Linked DNA regions of Arabidopsis thaliana. The protein of the gene in region 3 interacts with the protein of the main gene of each other region in a biochemical or structural test. Each region holds a gene or a part of one and is shown on either strand. Other genes may lie near its edges. The genes, in order: PP2A-1, EIN2 and CTR1.

What was found.
Region 1: the proteins of CTR1 (region 3) and PP2A-1 form a complex in vitro, tested with the Arabidopsis thaliana proteins (one study listed by BioGRID).
Region 2: of the proteins of CTR1 (region 3) and EIN2, one has a biochemical effect on the other in vitro, tested with the Arabidopsis thaliana proteins (one study listed by BioGRID).

What each region holds. Positions count from the first base shown.
Region 1 is NC_003070.9:22,019,776-22,024,214, reverse strand, and holds PP2A-1 (protein phosphatase 2A-2), read left to right. Parts: upstream 1-1,711; 5' UTR 1,712-1,921; coding exon 1,922-2,174; intron 2,175-2,380; coding exon 2,381-2,495; intron 2,496-2,591; coding exon 2,592-2,700; intron 2,701-2,787; coding exon 2,788-2,865; intron 2,866-3,052; coding exon 3,053-3,244; coding exon of another isoform or gene 3,245-3,286; exon of another isoform or gene 3,287-3,333; coding exon 3,334-3,507; 3' UTR 3,508-3,838; downstream 3,839-4,439. Other genes in the region: AT1G59833 (Defensin-like (DEFL) family protein), read right to left, coding at 501-656, 780-878; ALA3 (aminophospholipid ATPase 3), read right to left, coding at 4,192-4,439.
Region 2 is NC_003076.8:785,566-793,463, forward strand, and holds EIN2 (NRAMP metal ion transporter family protein), read left to right. Parts: upstream 1-1,862; 5' UTR 1,863-2,032; intron 2,033-2,565; 5' UTR 2,566-3,023; coding exon 3,024-3,272; intron 3,273-3,416; coding exon 3,417-3,503; intron 3,504-3,593; coding exon 3,594-3,704; intron 3,705-3,795; coding exon 3,796-4,008; intron 4,009-4,089; coding exon 4,090-4,275; intron 4,276-4,385; coding exon 4,386-7,046; intron 7,047-7,123; coding exon 7,124-7,501; 3' UTR 7,502-7,839; downstream 7,840-7,898. UniProt on the Arabidopsis thaliana protein: Central factor in signaling pathways regulated by ethylene (ET) and involved in various processes including development, plant defense, senescence, nucleotide sugar flux, and tropisms.
Region 3 is NC_003076.8:973,752-981,392, forward strand, and holds CTR1 (Protein kinase superfamily protein), read right to left. Parts: upstream 6,099-7,641; 5' UTR 5,910-6,098; coding exon 5,262-5,909; intron 5,087-5,261; coding exon 4,785-5,086; intron 4,688-4,784; coding exon 4,546-4,687; intron 4,329-4,545; coding exon 4,225-4,328; intron 4,090-4,224; coding exon 3,884-4,089; intron 3,527-3,883; coding exon 3,251-3,526; intron 3,061-3,250; coding exon 3,020-3,060; intron 2,744-3,019; coding exon 2,675-2,743; intron 2,595-2,674; coding exon 2,494-2,594; intron 2,405-2,493; coding exon 2,320-2,404; intron 2,226-2,319; coding exon 2,127-2,225; intron 1,894-2,126; coding exon 1,825-1,893; intron 1,722-1,824; coding exon 1,590-1,721; intron 1,476-1,589; coding exon 1,381-1,475; intron 1,304-1,380; coding exon 1,207-1,303; 3' UTR 1,099-1,206; exon of another isoform or gene 958-1,098; 3' UTR 609-957; downstream 1-608. UniProt on the Arabidopsis thaliana protein: Acts as a negative regulator in the ethylene response pathway. Phosphorylates the cytosolic C-terminal domain of EIN2, preventing the signaling in the absence of ethylene.

The DNA.
Region 1 (4,439 bases), on a different chromosome or scaffold from region 3:
TTAGAAAATGCTAGATTAAAAATACCAATCTTAATTTTGTTTGATTTGGAAATCAAAGAAGGTTCAAATCACCATGGCTCATATGAGTATTGGTTTCTATAATCTGTAACAACAACATTGTGGTATTTTCCCACTTTTTGTAACAAAATCACATTGTCCATATACATAGTGTTGAATTATGCAGTTTTTTCACATTTTCTATTTCCGTAAAATCTCTGCGAGTATTTTATAAGAAAACTTATATGTCATTTCTAAATTGAATTTAAATCAATCCAATTCAATATAGTTTAATTTAGTAAACTCTCTGTCAATAATTTTGATAGAATGTTATTAGGTTGTAAATACGAATGTTGAGGTCAATATAATTAGACTACAAAAAGGCTAGTATAATAAGACTTTTATTATTAAGATCAATAAATACTACAAAAGTCATCTTTTAAAATGCGGTAAAAAAAAACTATAACGATCAAATTGCCAATTACTAAAAGAAGTATCAATTCCTACGATGTGTAGCAACAACATTGTGGGTTGTCTTCACCTTTTGTTTGATAATCACAAAATCCATATGCATATTGTTGACTTGTACACTCTTCGTTACATGGTCTATTACCGAAAGCTATCTCACATGGCCCAATGCAATGTGGCTCTTGCTCTTGCTGGATTGCTGCAAATACACAATCCAATAATATACATACATATAAATAGCTATTACCAATTCTATATTTTATGATATAAAAATGTTCAAACATTGCTCTTCAAATGATCAAAGATAATTTAACGATAACAACTAACCTGGTTTGGCCAATGTTGTAGCTAGAAAATGAAATTGTCAATATCCCTACAAAGAAAATAATCACATATGTTTTTCTGATGTCCATTATATATTTTCACTATGAACTCTATTGAGAAAAATAGACTTTTATAGTTTTCTATATCTTTAATAAAGATTCTTTATGAAGATCTCTATTTATAGAAAAATAGATTTTTATAGTTTTCTATATCTGTGATCAGTTCAAATATTCTTTATGAAGATCTCTATTTATAAGATTATTTTTTTTTCGAATAAAAATATCAGTTTTCACACTATATTTCAGTTTTTTCACAACCATAAATGAATATTCTATATTTTTAATATGAGGTTGGCTAAAATTTATTAATTATCGTTCTTAATTATAAATTTCACTAAAAATAAATTTAATTGTATTAAACTGAACAGATGATTAATCTAAGCATGTTTTACACAAATATAATAATAACCAATTTTAATATATTTTTGATTTAAACAATTACACAAACTGATTTTGCCATAGCTTTTGCCGATGAACTGGCGAGATCATTGTGTCAATAAAAACTACGTAAAATCCCAGTGTACCGTGATCATTCAAATCCATGAAAATATTCGTCTAACTAAATGGAAAATCTCAGATGAGTTGATATCGATACCAAAGGAAATTGAGCTTAATACTATGGACAATATAATACACATGAAATTGTTACTATAATCATTGCTTGGTTAATTCGAAGAAGAACTCAAAAATAATTTTTCATTATACAATAGTCTTGATTTACATAGAAGTCTCAACTCTTAAGACTTTCAATAGTTAAATAACTGATACACTTTGAAGTTTAGGTGTCCTGTCTGATTAAAAATTTGCCAATGTCATTTCCTTTTGACCAGGCTTGGTTAAGAAACAAACTAAAAAAAATCACTCGTTAACAAAAAAAATTGTGTAAAGAATAATAAATATCCATTTTGTGTGATATGAGAGAAACAAAACCAAAGACGAGCCAGAGCCACCTCTAACACCATCGGCGACTTCTCCTCCTACTCCTCCGTCGCCGACGTGTTCGATTTACAACGATTCGGTGGCTATTGGTTGTAAGATTTAGAATTAAAGGTTAAAGGAGACGACGACGAGAGATGCCGTTAAACGGAGATCTCGACCGTCAGATCGAACAGCTAATGGAGTGTAAGCCGTTAGGTGAAGCAGACGTGAAGATCCTTTGCGATCAAGCTAAAGCGATTCTTGTTGAGGAATATAATGTTCAACCGGTTAAGTGTCCGGTTACGGTATGCGGCGATATCCATGGCCAGTTTTATGACCTAATTGAGCTATTTCGTATTGGTGGTAATGCTCCTGATACTAATTACCTCTTCATGGGAGATTATGTAGGTATGTCTTTCTCTCTTCTCTATCACTCTATTTCAATTTTTTTTGTGTGGGTAAGTTAAATTTCCTGATTTGTTGGGTTTTTAGAGATCTGTGTTCTTATGTTGATTTTCAGAGCATGTTTGATTCAAAGTACGCTGGTTCAGTTTGAAGTTTGGAGCTAATAGTTATTTCTTTGGTTTATTGTTGTCTTGGTTATATCTGTGCAGATCGTGGCTACTATTCTGTAGAAACAGTCTCTCTATTGGTGGCATTAAAGGTGCGTTACAGGGACAGACTTACGATCCTGCGAGGGAATCATGAGAGCCGTCAGATTACACAAGTGTAAGATTTTCTTTCTAAGAAGACTTGTATTTCATTTGCTTCTGACTCGCAAGCACTAACAATGGTTTGTGCCTGTTTTTGCTTATGTTTGTTCAGCTATGGTTTTTATGACGAATGCTTGAGGAAATACGGAAATGCAAATGTGTGGAAGTATTTTACGGACCTTTTCGATTATCTCCCTCTTACAGCACTCATAGAGAGTCAGGTTCGAGCTGTTCTTGCCAGTCGTCATTGTATCATCCGTAGTTGTTTCACTTCCGCACTTTTCTTCATCAACTGTATTCCGTGACAGGTTTTCTGTTTGCATGGAGGCCTTTCACCTTCTCTGGATACTCTTGACAATATCCGAAGCTTGGATCGAATACAAGAGGTATTGTTTTGGGTATAGAAGCATTGTTTTGCATTTAGTATCTGTAAATGTCTCCTCTTTTTCCCTAAAGACATTGTTTCTCTCTGGCTATAAACTCTCTGAAACCAACCTCCTAGTTATTATTAGTTTTGGCTTCAGATAGAACAAGGATTGTAATAATCTGATATGGTATGCTCTGGGATTGTAGGTTCCACACGAAGGACCAATGTGCGATCTACTCTGGTCTGATCCCGACGATCGTTGTGGATGGGGAATATCTCCTCGTGGTGCTGGTTACACGTTTGGACAGGACATTGCTACTCAGTTTAATCATAACAATGGACTGAGTCTGATCTCAAGAGCGCATCAACTTGTAATGGAAGGCTATAATTGGTGTCAGGTATATAATATGTGCATAACAATAGATTGGCATATGTGTTGAATAGGGTTCTGGTTGCAAAAATGCTGAATCTTTCGGTGTGTTGATAGGAAAAGAACGTAGTGACAGTGTTTAGTGCACCGAACTACTGTTACAGATGTGGAAACATGGCCGCAATTCTTGAGATTGGAGAAAAGATGGAACAGAACTTCCTTCAATTCGATCCAGCACCTAGACAAGTCGAACCCGATACCACGCGCAAGACCCCTGATTATTTTTTGTGATTTCATTTTTTTTCTTCCAAAGTTTGTTTGTTGCTGTATCATTGTAGATGTGTCTGTTTTATTTTGTTTTTTCGAGTCTCTAGATGGAATGTGATACCAAAGACGAAAAACCCATCATTTTTTTGTTGATGTTGATACTGAAACAGGTTTGTAGAAGCCTCTTCTTATTATAGAAAATGTCTTTTGATAATAACTTGATGTTTCAATTAAGAATTCACTATTTCTATCACAGTTGGTGTGTAATAGTACCAATAGAGTATTCGTCCTCTCCTAAACCATTTCTTCGTTGTTATAAGGCATCGACTAATAATATAAAATGGGATTGTTATAGTAGTACTCTAAAATGGGGTATACACATTTGACATACAATGTATAAGAAGAATAAGACGCAAAAGATATTTGGAATAAAAAAAAAGAGAAATAATAAACTCAAAGGTGTAATAAAATCAATTTTATGTACATGGGGAACAAGTATTGGGTTCCTAACGCCTTGCCTCTCCACATTAGTCATAAATGGAGCTATGAAAATGGCATTTAAAGCAAAACACAAACATAAAACACCTAAATGAAGCATATTTTCTACATATATTTTAGAACTAAAGGCCCTAACAAAAACCCCCCAAGCCGATGACATTGCCTAAATGTACAAAGACAATTAGCAATAATATGTTATATATTGGATCTTTACTTCTTCGGTACCTTTGGCCGTGATCTCATACTGGCTCTCCTTGCCACATCCCACGCCTTCTGTGGCGCGTATATCCCTAACTGAGACGCAAAGAAAGATTCATAACCTGGTGAATCAAACGCAAACCCAGTGTGCTTTGAGAGCTCCCGAGGCAATTGTGATATCGCATAGCTTCTCGCCTCTTGAGGTGTGAGCTCATTCTCTACCTCCAGCTGATCTGCCTTGCTTGCATCTGACTCGTGCC
Region 2 (7,898 bases), 190 kb from region 3:
ATGTATATATACTTTCACAAGAGAATATGGATAATGTTGAGTATGTTAAATATATAGTGACAAGTTACATAAAAAAAGCCTAAAGAAATCAAATTGGAAAAAATAGTAAGGTACAATGTATGGTTATCGAAAGCCCAAGCTGTACTTCCATTGATGTAGGAGATGATTAGGAACACGTGGATTATATTTGACCAAAAATAGTAGAAATTCTATTTATATTTGTTTTCTTCTTTTGGTTTTGGGTTTGATTTTGTGATTTGGATAGTTCGGTTAAGGATGGTTTGATCAATCAATATAACCATACTAAAATATGATTCAGTTAACTAACTATAGTAACTGTTTCTTCGTTAGTAAAATGATACATTTATTGGAATCTATTGACAAATCTTAATGACTTATTATAACTGGTGATAACAAAATCTAGCTATTATTTTGTATCCAACTACATATTTTGTATAAAATGGAAATTCGTATATGATATTTGTTTAGTTTAAAAGTAGAGTGTATTTGTTTTTTCAATGATGATTTAATGAAATCAAGCTCTTAGTTGAGATCAAAAGACAAATAAAACAAAATGTTTTTTTTTGTTTTGTTTCTTTTCTATTTGAGGGAAGGCCATGAATTCTTATTTTTGACAAATAGTTGTTCTATGCAATTAATATTGATGTCTAATACATATACAGCAGAATAAATAAAAACTTGCTATATAAAGACGTATTATTTATAGCATTCTGTGGAGTATAATGTCGAATCCTGTTCTCATTTCCGATTTTACATATTTATGGTACTAACGCCTTCATTTATTTTTCCATTTTCGTTAGTCAACAACTTCAGCTTTTGATAACGCCTAATTGTATCATCAACTTTAGTTAGTTTTCTCAAATAACGTCATTTTCAAATAAAGTTTTTGATTTCTCTTTTATTATATTTATGCAAAAGGAAAATTATAATTTCAGTATTTTGCAGAACGCTGAAATGTATAATAGAACCTATTCATGTATTTTTGTAAAATTTTAAAGATTGTTTTAATACTAAAATAAGTAAATCATTAAAAAAATTCCTAGACATTGGTCTCTAATATAAGATAAATAGATCTAAATTATGTTTGGATTTTAATTCTAATAAAAAGGTAGCCAAAAGTTATATATACAATATTTAAACAATTTTATTTGTTTAAGATTTGAATTTTATAGTATGCGAGAATCGCGTAAACTTTTCTCGAATGTAACAAAAAATTTCAAATCTTCTCGACACATGTAATCTTTTGCGAGTTAGAAGATTTGATTCCTTATTTTTTGTTCGTATTCTTAAAGTTAGTCACGTTTATATTATTTTTCGCTTTGTAACCGTCCCTTTAAATTTTTAATAAAAATTAAAAAAATTGCTAGAAAACAACATTTTTGTATTACTCAAATCAAAAGTACAAAAATAAATTTAGCTAGCGTTTCACAAAATCAAGTAAAATAATCTCCATTTGAAACTCCATAATCAAGCTGTTTGATGTATTATTATTACATGTAATGAGGAGAAAGAGGGGTCGAGAAATTTAAAGTAATAATAATTCTCTTCTTCGTCCATGGAATAAACTACGATTAGTTTAAAAAGATTAATAAAGATGGATTAAAGAAACTATATGTTAAACCTGGAAAATTTATTTAAAAAGACGTTTTTTTAGCTATAAGAAAAAAAAGAATAATACCTTTATTTTTACATGTTATTTACAAGTAATAATTTTTTTTTTCTCTCTCTCTCTTTGAAGGTGGCACGAGCACCCATAACCTTCAGACCTATAGATACAAATATGTATGTATACGTTTTTTATATATAAATATTTTATATAATTGATTTTTCGATCTTCTTTTATCTCTCTCTTTCGATGGAACTGAGCTCTTTCTCTCTTTCCTCTTCTTTTCTCTCTCTATCTCTATCTCTCGTAGCTTGATAAGAGTTTCTCTCTTTTGAAGATCCGTTTCTCTCTCTCTCACTGAGACTATTGTTGTTAGGTCAACTTGCGATCATGGCGATTTCGAAGGTGACTTCTTTCAAAAACCCTAATCCTCTGTTTTTTTTTTTATTTTGCTGGGGGGCTTTGTACGGACTTTCATGGGTTTTTGTAGCTTTTCCCTCGGCTTTTGCGCAAATGAGACTTTCTGGGTTTTTTTTCCAGCTTTTTATAATTTCATCAGGTGGATCGAATTCGTAGTTTCAGCTTAGATCTCTCTCCCTCTTCATTATCTGGACTTTCCAGACTTGGAGTTCTTCGGGATTGTTTTCGGTTTCTGGGTTTTGTTTTAATTGCGAGATTTAAGCTTTTTTCTTTTTTACTACTGTACTTGGTTTGTGGTTGACCTTTTTTTTCCTTGAAGATCTGAATGCGTAGATCATACGGGATCTTTGCATTTTTGTTGCTTTTCGTCAGCGTTACGATTCTTTTAGCTTCAGTTTAGTTGAAATTTGTATTTTTTTTGAGCTTATCTTCTTTTTGTTGCTGCTTCATACTAAGATCAATTATTGATTTGTAATACTACTGTATCTGAAGATTTTCACCATAAAAAAAAAATTCAGGTCTGAAGCTGATTTCGAATGGTTTGGAGATATCCGTAGTGGTTAAGCATATGGAAGTCTATGTTCTGCTCTTGGTTGCTCTGTTAGGGCTTCCTCCATTTGGACCAACTTAGCTGAATGTTGTATGATCTCTCTCCTTGAAGCAGCAAATAAGAAGAAGGTCTGGTCCTTAACTTAACATCTGGTTACTAGAGGAAACTTCAGCTATTATTAGGTAAAGAAAGACTGTACAGAGTTGTATAACAAGTAAGCGTTAGAGTGGCTTTGTTTGCCTCGGTGATAGAAGAACCGACTGATTCGTTGTTGTGTGTTAGCTTTGGAGGGAATCAGATTTCGCGAGGGAAGGTGTTTTAGATCAAATCTGTGAATTTTACTCAACTGAGGCTTTTAGTGAACCACGACTGTAGAGTTGACCTTGAATCCTACTCTGAGTAATTATATTATCAGATAGATTTAGGATGGAAGCTGAAATTGTGAATGTGAGACCTCAGCTAGGGTTTATCCAGAGAATGGTTCCTGCTCTACTTCCTGTCCTTTTGGTTTCTGTCGGATATATTGATCCCGGGAAATGGGTTGCAAATATCGAAGGAGGTGCTCGTTTCGGGTATGACTTGGTGGCAATTACTCTGCTTTTCAATTTTGCCGCCATCTTATGCCAATATGTTGCAGCTCGCATAAGCGTTGTGACTGGTAAACACTTGGCTCAGGTAAACATTTTTCTGATCTCTAAAGAACAAACTTTTTAAAATAACAAACTGGGCTCTGTGGTTGTCTTGTCACTTTCTCAAAGTGGAATTCTACTAACCACCTTCTCTATTTTTCTAACATTTTAATGTTCTTTACTGGGACAGATCTGCAATGAAGAATATGACAAGTGGACGTGCATGTTCTTGGGCATTCAGGCGGAGTTCTCAGCAATTCTGCTCGACCTTACCATGGTAGTTACTTACAATCTTTGCTGTTCTTAATTTTTTTATTATGTGATAAAATTTTGATTCCTCTGACTTGAGCTTCTCTATTATAAACAGGTTGTGGGAGTTGCGCATGCACTTAACCTTTTGTTTGGGGTGGAGTTATCCACTGGAGTGTTTTTGGCCGCCATGGATGCGTTTTTATTTCCTGTTTTCGCCTCTTTCCTTGTATGACTGGTCTTCCTGTCTTGTTTTTTTTCTCCACGTTCTTGAAATAGCATTATTGGAAATTAGCTGACATGCATACAATTTCTGACAGGAAAATGGTATGGCAAATACAGTATCCATTTACTCTGCAGGCCTGGTATTACTTCTCTATGTATCTGGCGTCTTGCTGAGTCAGTCTGAGATCCCACTCTCTATGAATGGAGTGTTAACTCGGTTAAATGGAGAGAGCGCATTCGCACTGATGGGTCTTCTTGGCGCAAGCATCGTCCCTCACAATTTTTATATCCATTCTTATTTTGCTGGGGTACCTTTTTTCTCTTTATATGTATCTCTCTTTTCTGTTAAGAAGCAATAATTATACTAAGCAGTGAACGCTCTATTACAGGAAAGTACATCTTCGTCTGATGTCGACAAGAGCAGCTTGTGTCAAGACCATTTGTTCGCCATCTTTGGTGTCTTCAGCGGACTGTCACTTGTAAATTATGTATTGATGAATGCAGCAGCTAATGTGTTTCACAGTACTGGCCTTGTGGTACTGACTTTTCACGATGCCTTGTCACTAATGGAGCAGGTTTGTTCTGACGGTTTTATGTTCGTATTAGTCTATAATTCATTTTTAGGGAAAATGTTCAGAAATCTCTCGTGATTATTAATTATCTTGTTCTTGATTGTTGATCACAGGTATTTATGAGTCCGCTCATTCCAGTGGTCTTTTTGATGCTCTTGTTCTTCTCTAGTCAAATTACCGCACTAGCTTGGGCTTTCGGTGGAGAGGTCGTCCTGCATGACTTCCTGAAGATAGAAATACCCGCTTGGCTTCATCGTGCTACAATCAGAATTCTTGCAGTTGCTCCTGCGCTTTATTGTGTATGGACATCTGGTGCAGACGGAATATACCAGTTACTTATATTCACCCAGGTCTTGGTGGCAATGATGCTTCCTTGCTCGGTAATACCGCTTTTCCGCATTGCTTCGTCGAGACAAATCATGGGTGTCCATAAAATCCCTCAGGTTGGCGAGTTCCTCGCACTTACAACGTTTTTGGGATTTCTGGGGTTGAATGTTGTTTTTGTTGTTGAGATGGTATTTGGGAGCAGTGACTGGGCTGGTGGTTTGAGATGGAATACCGTGATGGGCACCTCGATTCAGTACACCACTCTGCTTGTATCGTCATGTGCATCCTTATGCCTGATACTCTGGCTGGCAGCCACGCCGCTGAAATCTGCGAGTAACAGAGCGGAAGCTCAAATATGGAACATGGATGCTCAAAATGCTTTATCTTATCCATCTGTTCAAGAAGAGGAAATTGAAAGAACAGAAACAAGGAGGAACGAAGACGAATCAATAGTGCGGTTGGAAAGCAGGGTAAAGGATCAGTTGGATACTACGTCTGTTACTAGCTCGGTCTATGATTTGCCAGAGAACATTCTAATGACGGATCAAGAAATCCGTTCGAGCCCTCCAGAGGAAAGAGAGTTGGATGTAAAGTACTCTACCTCTCAAGTTAGTAGTCTTAAGGAAGACTCTGATGTAAAGGAACAGTCTGTATTGCAGTCAACAGTGGTTAATGAGGTCAGTGATAAGGATCTGATTGTTGAAACAAAGATGGCGAAAATTGAACCAATGAGTCCTGTGGAGAAGATTGTTAGCATGGAGAATAACAGCAAGTTTATTGAAAAGGATGTTGAAGGGGTTTCATGGGAAACAGAAGAAGCTACCAAAGCTGCTCCTACAAGCAACTTTACTGTCGGATCTGATGGTCCTCCTTCATTCCGCAGCTTAAGTGGGGAAGGGGGAAGTGGGACTGGAAGCCTTTCACGGTTGCAAGGTTTGGGACGTGCTGCCCGGAGACACTTATCTGCGATCCTTGATGAATTTTGGGGACATTTATATGATTTTCATGGGCAATTGGTTGCTGAAGCCAGGGCAAAGAAACTAGATCAGCTGTTTGGCACTGATCAAAAGTCAGCCTCTTCTATGAAAGCAGATTCGTTTGGAAAAGACATTAGCAGTGGATATTGCATGTCACCAACTGCGAAGGGAATGGATTCACAGATGACTTCAAGTTTATATGATTCACTGAAGCAGCAGAGGACACCGGGAAGTATCGATTCGTTGTATGGATTACAAAGAGGTTCGTCACCGTCACCGTTGGTCAACCGTATGCAGATGTTGGGTGCATATGGTAACACCACTAATAATAATAATGCTTACGAATTGAGTGAGAGAAGATACTCTAGCCTGCGTGCTCCATCATCTTCAGAGGGTTGGGAACACCAACAACCAGCTACAGTTCACGGATACCAGATGAAGTCATATGTAGACAATTTGGCAAAAGAAAGGCTTGAAGCCTTACAATCCCGTGGAGAGATCCCGACATCGAGATCTATGGCGCTTGGTACATTGAGCTATACACAGCAACTTGCTTTAGCCTTGAAACAGAAGTCCCAGAATGGTCTAACCCCTGGACCAGCTCCTGGGTTTGAGAATTTTGCTGGGTCTAGAAGCATATCGCGACAATCTGAAAGATCTTATTACGGTGTTCCATCTTCTGGCAATACTGATACTGTTGGCGCAGCAGTAGCCAATGAGAAAAAATATAGTAGCATGCCAGATATCTCAGGATTGTCTATGTCCGCAAGGAACATGCATTTACCAAACAACAAGAGTGGATACTGGGATCCGTCAAGTGGAGGAGGAGGGTATGGTGCGTCTTATGGTCGGTTAAGCAATGAATCATCGTTATATTCTAATTTGGGGTCACGGGTGGGAGTACCCTCGACTTATGATGACATTTCTCAATCAAGAGGAGGCTACAGAGATGCCTACAGTTTGCCACAGAGTGCAACAACAGGGACCGGATCGCTTTGGTCCAGACAGCCCTTTGAGCAGTTTGGTGTAGCGGAGAGGAATGGTGCTGTTGGTGAGGAGCTCAGGAATAGATCGAATCCGATCAATATAGACAACAACGCTTCTTCTAATGTTGATGCAGAGGCTAAGCTTCTTCAGTCGTTCAGGCACTGTATTCTAAAGCTTATTAAACTTGAAGGATCCGAGTGGTTGTTTGGACAAAGCGATGGAGTTGATGAAGAACTGATTGACCGGGTAGCTGCACGAGAGAAGTTTATCTATGAAGCTGAAGCTCGAGAAATAAACCAGGTGGGTCACATGGGGGAGCCACTAATTTCATCGGTTCCTAACTGTGGAGATGGTTGCGTTTGGAGAGCTGATTTGATTGTGAGCTTTGGAGTTTGGTGCATTCACCGTGTCCTTGACTTGTCTCTCATGGAGAGTCGGCCTGAGCTTTGGGGAAAGTACACTTACGTTCTCAACCGCCTACAGGTAACAAAAACCGCAGTAGTTCATTGAAAATCACAGTTTTGCAGTTTGAAAATATTGACATGTATGGATTTAAACAGGGAGTGATTGATCCGGCGTTCTCAAAGCTGCGGACACCAATGACACCGTGCTTTTGCCTTCAGATTCCAGCGAGCCACCAGAGAGCGAGTCCGACTTCAGCTAACGGAATGTTACCTCCGGCTGCAAAACCGGCTAAAGGCAAATGCACAACCGCAGTCACACTTCTTGATCTAATCAAAGACGTTGAAATGGCAATCTCTTGTAGAAAAGGCCGAACCGGTACAGCTGCAGGTGATGTGGCTTTCCCAAAGGGGAAAGAGAATTTGGCTTCGGTTTTGAAGCGGTATAAACGTCGGTTATCGAATAAACCAGTAGGTATGAATCAGGATGGACCCGGTTCAAGAAAAAACGTGACTGCGTACGGATCATTGGGTTGAAGAAGAAGAACATTGTGAGAAATCTCATGATCAAAGTGACGTCGAGAGGGAAGCCGAAGAATCAAAACTCTCGCTTTTGATTGCTCCTCTGCTTCGTTAATTGTGTATTAAGAAAAGAAGAAAAAAAATGGATTTTTGTTGCTTCAGAATTTTTCGCTCTTTTTTTCTTAATTTGGTTGTAATGTTATGTTTATATACATATATCATCATCATAGGACCATAGCTACAAACCGAATCCGGTTTGTGTAATTCTATGCGGAATCATAAAGAAATCGTCGGTTTGAAATGTTAAATCTCCTAAACCGGATCTCTGCACGTAGCTGACACATCGACGCTAGATTACTGACACGTGTCCTTATCAATATTTCTTCTCGAAACGTCTTACTGTTTCATAAAG
Region 3 (7,641 bases):
TAGGGGGTTTAAGAGAAGAAGGATGAGAGGTTTAATGGTTTATAAAGGTTTAGGGAAGGAAGTAACCGACAAACTGTAGTCAGATAATTGAAAAAAATCTGGGGAATAGAGAGGCGGTGGAAATGGGTGGGTCAGTTCCCGCCACCGTGGATTTATCTTTTTCGTCATCATGTTCCATTGATTCATCAGTTTAGAAGAAATTTGGAAACTTTAGTGACAAATAATTGTACAACCGACATTGAAATTGAAAGTTGTTTCCTTGCAGCTTCACTTAGCTCTCTCTCTCTGTGATTTGGTGAAGGAGAGAAAGTGGTGACGATGGTGGGTCCCACGTCATCTTGAGATTTTTGAAAGGAGGAGTGATTTAGCGCGTTTGCCAGGTCAGCTTTCTAATTTGGAACTGGGCCCTCACAAATCACTGATTCGCTTTTCGTGTTTCCTTTTTCAGAATTTAATATTGTATAATTTTGATTTACGCAATCCTATTGGTTACCGATCCATCAAACGATTAATTCGGAAGACAGGTAAAGTCGTTTTCAAGTGTGGGAACTTACTTAGACGCGAAGGCAAAAATAGTTGACTATGTATCTAGATATTTTCAGTCCCAATGCGTTTTTAACGATTTGGGATTATATTCATCTGTATTAGAGTCTCCGAAAGTTACAGTCTTATTTCATTTCTGTTGGTTTATAGTCCAGACTAATCGCACAGTGAACAAATGTAAATCCAATGAATCATATTGAGTTTGCAAAACCCTTTGACAGCATTTACCAGCTGCTCTTTTTTACCTTCGCTTAGTAACTAATTTAGCGGTATAAATGTACAGCAATGTAATTAAATATAGCTTTCAGTGCATTGCTACAAAGACATAACAACAAAATATTGCTTACCCTTTGGGACTAGATAGATAGATTATATCCCTCACATTGTTTCCATTACTACATTTTTTTTTCCTCCCTGTGACAATAGTCATGTACATTTTAACAATCTGCAACATTAAAAAGGGAACAAAACAGCAGACAAAGATCGCAAAAATAATACATGTATAAAAACCATGGGATTCTGTAGGATATGATTGATAGCTCATGAGGAATGTACCTTTAAAGCTATATCTTAACTAGTGTCTCCCTCCTGGGCAGCAAAAGAATGCTGAGAGTATATGTGCATATCATGATTATAACAACTTTTGAATGGACCGGGGGTATTTTACAAATCCGAGCGGTTGGGCGGAGGAACCGCTGATTTGATCAATGGTCTTAGCAAGTCCATTATAGTTGCAAATGATGGACGCTTCCATGGCTCACTGGTAATGAAACACATACATAAACATGAAGTCTATTCAAGAAGAATTCAAAAAAGAGATAGAAAATCTTAACGTACTTGGTCCAACAACCCTCGATTATGGCTGCAACCTGAGGATTCAGATTACGCGGGATCTCCAGCCGTTTACACTTGAAACCAACCGCAGCTACAACCTATGGAACATTTTTTTGTATGATCATATATAGCATGTTATGAAATGTAGAGTGAGGGACTTCCAAATGCAAAATAATATCATTATTATTTGAGATGTTTAGAGTGGAAAGTACCTGAGCCGGATTTAAGTTACCCCATGGTTGTTGCAATGTAGCAAGCTCCCACAAGATGACCCCGAAGCTGTACACATCTGACTTTTCATTAGACGGCTCATCTCGCAGGACTTCTGGTGCCATCCACTCGGGCTGATATATCAAAGTCAGTAATTATTTAGCTTCCATTGGAAATAGGACCTAGAAGAAAGTTACGTTGTTCAGCGTGTTTTAGTTTCAAACAAACTGAACTTACGGTTCCAGCTGCTGACTTCGAGGAAAGAAACGTGCTGGCCTTCAATCGCGAGAGACCAAAATCACAAACCTGAAATTTCAAGACAAATTGAGGAGTTAGAATAATAATGTTCTGATTGTTTTTAAGACGACAGCTTGAGGCTGCTGTATCTTTTAAGTTTCAGCAGATTAACGCCTTTTTGTAATGTCTCCAAACCAATTTAGAATTAAAAATCATAATTTATATATAAGCTTGTCTCACAAGAGGAATAAAATATCAAAATCAAAACATTGGACACAACAATTTCTAATTTAGATTCAAACCTTGACTGTATATTTTTTGTCAACCAATAAGTTTGGAGATTTTAGATCTCTATGCACAATTGGAGGATTGCGATTGTGAAGATAATTCATTCCCTTAGCCTGTGACAGAGAATTGGAAAGAAAGTTCCATGTGAAGAAACACCAAGATCAGGAAGTAATCACCCATACATGTAACATAAGGAATTAAACATACCACATCATAAGCCATACTCAGGCGACGTCTCTCATCTAATTGCTCCCTTGCTCCACTTTTATGCAAAAGTCTGTATAAACTACCTCTGTTTGAAAGAAATCATGGTATTAGAGTCATTATAGGCCAAAATTCTACACTCAGTACATCAAACCTTCCAAATCCAAGTAATTGTACCTTGACAAATATTCTGTCACTATTGACAAATTTGGAGGTTGAGTGACCGCACCCATGAAGAGAACAATGTTAGGGTGGCGAAGGCGTTTCATTATCGCAACCTGACAGCGAATCAAGATCATTGGAGACATTAATACAACAAGTTCATTACCAAAATCAAGAGAAAATTTTATTTGTGCACCTCTCTTAAGAACTCATTAACACGCTCAGCATGGAAGTCTTGCTCCATGAGAATTTTCACAGCAACATCCTGAAATTGATAGAGAATATTACTGCAATAATCAAAATTAGAATTCTTCTAGTGATAGAATTGTAAAATTCAAACAGGAAGACAAATTTATGATATAAAGACACATATACATCTAAAATGGGACACCTTTTGTCCGTGTTTAATTTCTGACAGAACGGAGAGTCACATATACAATAACTTTGCCTTTTATAATACCAAGCAGATCCAAAAGTCACAACCAAATTTTTAGAGCGAAAAAAAATTCAGCTGCGTAAATTCTGACAAAAAAGTTCTTACCGAGCCATGCCACTCAGCACGGTGGACAGTGCCAAAGGAACCTGAAAGAGCAGTCGCTCAAATTAGAGTGGAAGAATTAAAGGCAACAGAGAAGAATGTAATCTCAAAATGGGTGGCACTTTTTCCTTATTTTGTTCGAGAACAGAGTCCAAAGCAAAACCACTTCCTCAAGAATTTCATATTTCTTTGCATTTTTAGACCGAATCATTAATTTTTCCGTAAAATTATTACCTGCTCCAATCTTTTCTTTTATATTAAGATCACACCACGGGATGTCCATATCATCACCATCAAGTCCAAGTTCCCTATTTGCCCTGTTTGGAACTGGCTGACTGATTGGTGGGGCATTCATAGGTGCTGCTTCAATTTGATTTGACGCACGCATCATGTTCTGTGGAGGCATATTAGCACTGGGTGGCAAAGACCCACCACCATTTTCTGCCAATGCGTCATTCTCTCCACCCGGATTATCATATTGCCTATGAAACATTGAGAATCCCATATCATCTACAACCATTCAAACAAGCAGATATAAGAAATTAGAGTCCAGAAGACAAGTCTTGCACATAAATGCACTAGAATTCATAAGCTTGAACAGCAGACTAACAAGTTTAACCTTAAATATCATTAGGCAAAGAACCCACCAACAAACATACACATCAACAGCCAAAAACAACTAAAGTGAAAAGAGACAAGAAAACAAACAATAGAATCATTCTAAGACTACTAACACTTCAGATACTGAGACATGATCAAGAAATACCCTAAATGATAGGAGATTACTCTTTTAGGGGAAATACAAAACGAGATGTAAGCAGCATGCAAAAAGTTAACATATTATTCAGGTTTTTTGTATGGGAATACCTGATGCAGGATCGAAAACAAGATTAAGAGACTGGCTATCGGAGAAATATTGTTTGGCTAGTAACCTAAAATCGACTGCGGGTTCAACTGGCTTTGGTCGTGGAAACCGCAGAGGAGAAGAAATTGAGATAGATGAAGGACCATTTAGCAAGGAATCAGGCTCCCATAAGTGACCTGGCTTTCCTACTAAATCAACCAGGTACTCCCTGAAACCAAAACAAATTTTCCACGTCATCAACCTAATATTCTGCGAAACATTTGGAGCTATAATTGTTTTTCCAGAAACAAAAAGCAAAGAAAATAGGAAAATAAAGGCTCTTTCGCAATCACTTGTATCATACCTATCAAGCCCAAACCTGACAAGGCACGAAGCGGCATCGTCTCTATTACAATATTTACATCCTTTGGCAATTCGACAGGGTAAATCAATTATGTCAGCCAGTACCTGCATGCACCAAATAGAAGATATAAAATACTTTTTTTCTTTGGAACATTCAACTATCAGTAACCTATTTTTTTCTAATCAATAACACCACTTTTCACATTCAACGTTCTTCATATGTATTCCAATAAAAACAAATGGATGAAGCACAATAATTTATATGATCATTTCACAAGATGTCTTAAATGTCATGGGGATAGCATCAAAGTTGGGATCTCACTTTGAAGAGTAAAGCTCGATGTCTGCAGAGTCCAACAGAGAGGCTACCTATGGGAACCACCACTTTAAAGATTTCTTTTAGACCATCAATGCACTCCTTCCACATGGGAACCAACTCATCTTCCCCCATGATAACTGGACCCCTGGGGAAGCAAGAATTAACGAGTACAATGTGAGAAATCACAGGAAGATATAAAAATATAAGTTCAAAGGGATAGTAAGGATTGTATGAGTACAAACCCCATACGATTGCAGATAAGCTTTGCCAGCTGATCAACAACCTCTTTTGTGGTAATGCAGCTACAAGATATGTCGTGGACTCTATTGTGAAGTTCCTTGAAGGCTGGATCACTACGCCTATCAACTATGATCGCTTCAAGCGAAGAATCAACACCAGAATCAACAGCTCTTAATGATTCAATTGAAGGGATGCGACCACTTTCATGCAGGTCGATGCATAAGGTCCAAATATAGGGATCCAGACCATTCATCATATAAAACCCATCAGGAACTTTATCATAGTACGATAAGCAGCCATTAACCTGATGCAGCACACAAAACAATCATACTCTGCAATGTATCTAAACAACATATCTCATTTGCTACTAATAGACTTTTGGTAAGGAGATCTAACTGAAACTTCGGAAACAAGAGGACCATATCTCTATAACCACGATTCAATAATTTTGGGAAACAAAGCTTAACAGGAACAAATACCCAGAAACGATGTGAAACGGTTTCGGCTGAACTTGGCGAAGTCCGTAAAGCAGACTCGTCCGGTACAGGATCCAGAAAGTTCGGATCGTCGGCACAAGTAGCCTCCGACGAAAGCCTTAACGCCAATGCAAGCTGCAGCTGATAACTCTCCTCCGTCTGCTGCGCCCAGCTCTTCCCAGATGAAGACCCTCCAGCGGAGTCCGCCGCCATCTGTATCCTCAAATCTCCTCCACCACCACCAAATCCAAGCCTAAACCCATCATCTTGAGGAAATCCAACAGATTCGATCTCGTTAGCCGCCGCAGAAAGCGTAGGCATGTAATAATCCCCAGACAAAGAGCTCTCACCGAAACTACTCCCACTGGATTGCCTTTGCAACCCTAGAGACGAAGCATACATATTATTCCCAACCCGATTCGGTTGATTATTCAACCTATGATCACCACCACCACCACCGCTAGGATCCCAATCAAATCCGCCTCTCTCCGCCTTAGCTTTCCCGGTGTTCCCGCTGTTATGGTTGCTCCTGTTTTCGCTCGACAAGGAATCATAGTGAGGCGGAGGAGCTCCGGTGACGGAAACTGACACCTGATCGTCAGAAAATTGACTAAGCAAAGTGTAATTAGATCTTCTACCGGGCATTTCCATGGAAAAGAGAGTTATCGCGATCTAGATGAGAGAGTTTCCCGATCATATAAACATCAAACCCTAGGAAACCGCCATTGTTGAAGAAGTTTGGCGAGCTAGCTAGCCACTTGTTTCTCTCTCTAGTTTTTCATTTTTTTTTTGTACTTTTTAAAAAAGTCTCTCTCTCTCTCTCTCTCTCTCTCTCTCTCTAATGGAATTGGATTTTTTTTTTGTTTTTGCGTTATCATAGGAAATAAACTTACTCGGTGCGTTTCTGTTGATAATTTCGTTATATTCCTCTTTTGTCCTCCTTTTTATGGAACTTTGACATTTTTTTTATTTTTTGTCAAAACAATTCTCCAATTTAGTTTGTTTTTTAGTGTATTATTATTTGTCTAATTTTTGTATTCGACTATGATATCTATTCATATGTTTTGTGCTAATTTAATCGCTAATAAAACTGTTTAAACAATTAATTTGGTATTTCATATTTTGGTGATAAGCAACTGAAATTGGAAGATAAAAAGTAGTATCGTAGTGAAAGTAGAAAACGCAAAGCTAAAAGAGGAACATACACAGTGTAAAATACTAAACCATCTTGCCTATCAAATCCAAATACTATCAAATTTGATCTTTTACACCAATCTGAATCCGTAACATTGGATCCAAGTTTCGTATACCTAAACATGAAATTTTCATTCGGCTCTACGTAGTCTAAAAAACTCGACATAAAATAAATAAAAAGCCTTTATAACGTCCACAATATTTAGAATAGAAAGTGAGAGAATGGACTATAATAAAATAATTGGAGTCGAGGGGGATGTATTCGTGTATGCGAAAATGGATGGGCTCTTCTGTCTTTATATTCCTTAATTTGTCTATTCAAACACATTCGTATTTCTGGTCTTCGGCCTGCGACTTCTATACCATGCATGCATCTTATCTCTCTCTTTTTTTTTTTTTTTCGTTTTCTTTTCTACTTCTCCATTTTTTTTTAATTTGGTTATTTTTATTGCCTTTATGTTTTTTGTGTATTATATATAAATGAACTAATAATACTTCATTATGTTTCGTGTTATTATAAGTGAATTTTTCACAACCATTACAAAAAATTATCTTTTGCTTAAAAGTTAACTTTGGATTATAGTACTTCATAAAAATGTAAAGATTTTGATCAAGTACTTATCAACGCAGCTTGGGTAGTCAATGTGCTGTCATTAATTTATCTATCAAGCTATCCACGCAGCTTGGACAATAAATAAATATTTAAATTCTATTGCATATTTATATCATTTGATCCGCTAAGGTTCATCGAATACTGCCAGGTTCATTGCACTCAACGCATTTTTGTCATTAACTTACGTTTTTTAGCCATGGCTGCTGAGAATATAAAGTTGCTACTATGTAAAGAAACTTTTGGGTTTGATCATATTTGTGCACAAAAAAAAATAAAAAAAAAATCATACTTTTAAAACTAGTATTAATCCAAAAAGTGCTAAAACATAACAAAAAAAAATTCTCCTTAACTACTATACAAACATATATTTTTTTATGCGCATAAATTAAAACTTAACAATTGATTATGATCACATATGTTGAAAAAAATCGAAATTATGTGTGATATGTAAAACCGGAGTATAATATTGGTAAACTATAAATTTAAGAGCATTGGAAAATGTTCATGATTCATGCCGAGAACTCTTCTAAATCTAAACACGAGAGGCCCCGAATAGATCTAACTAAAATGAATTGT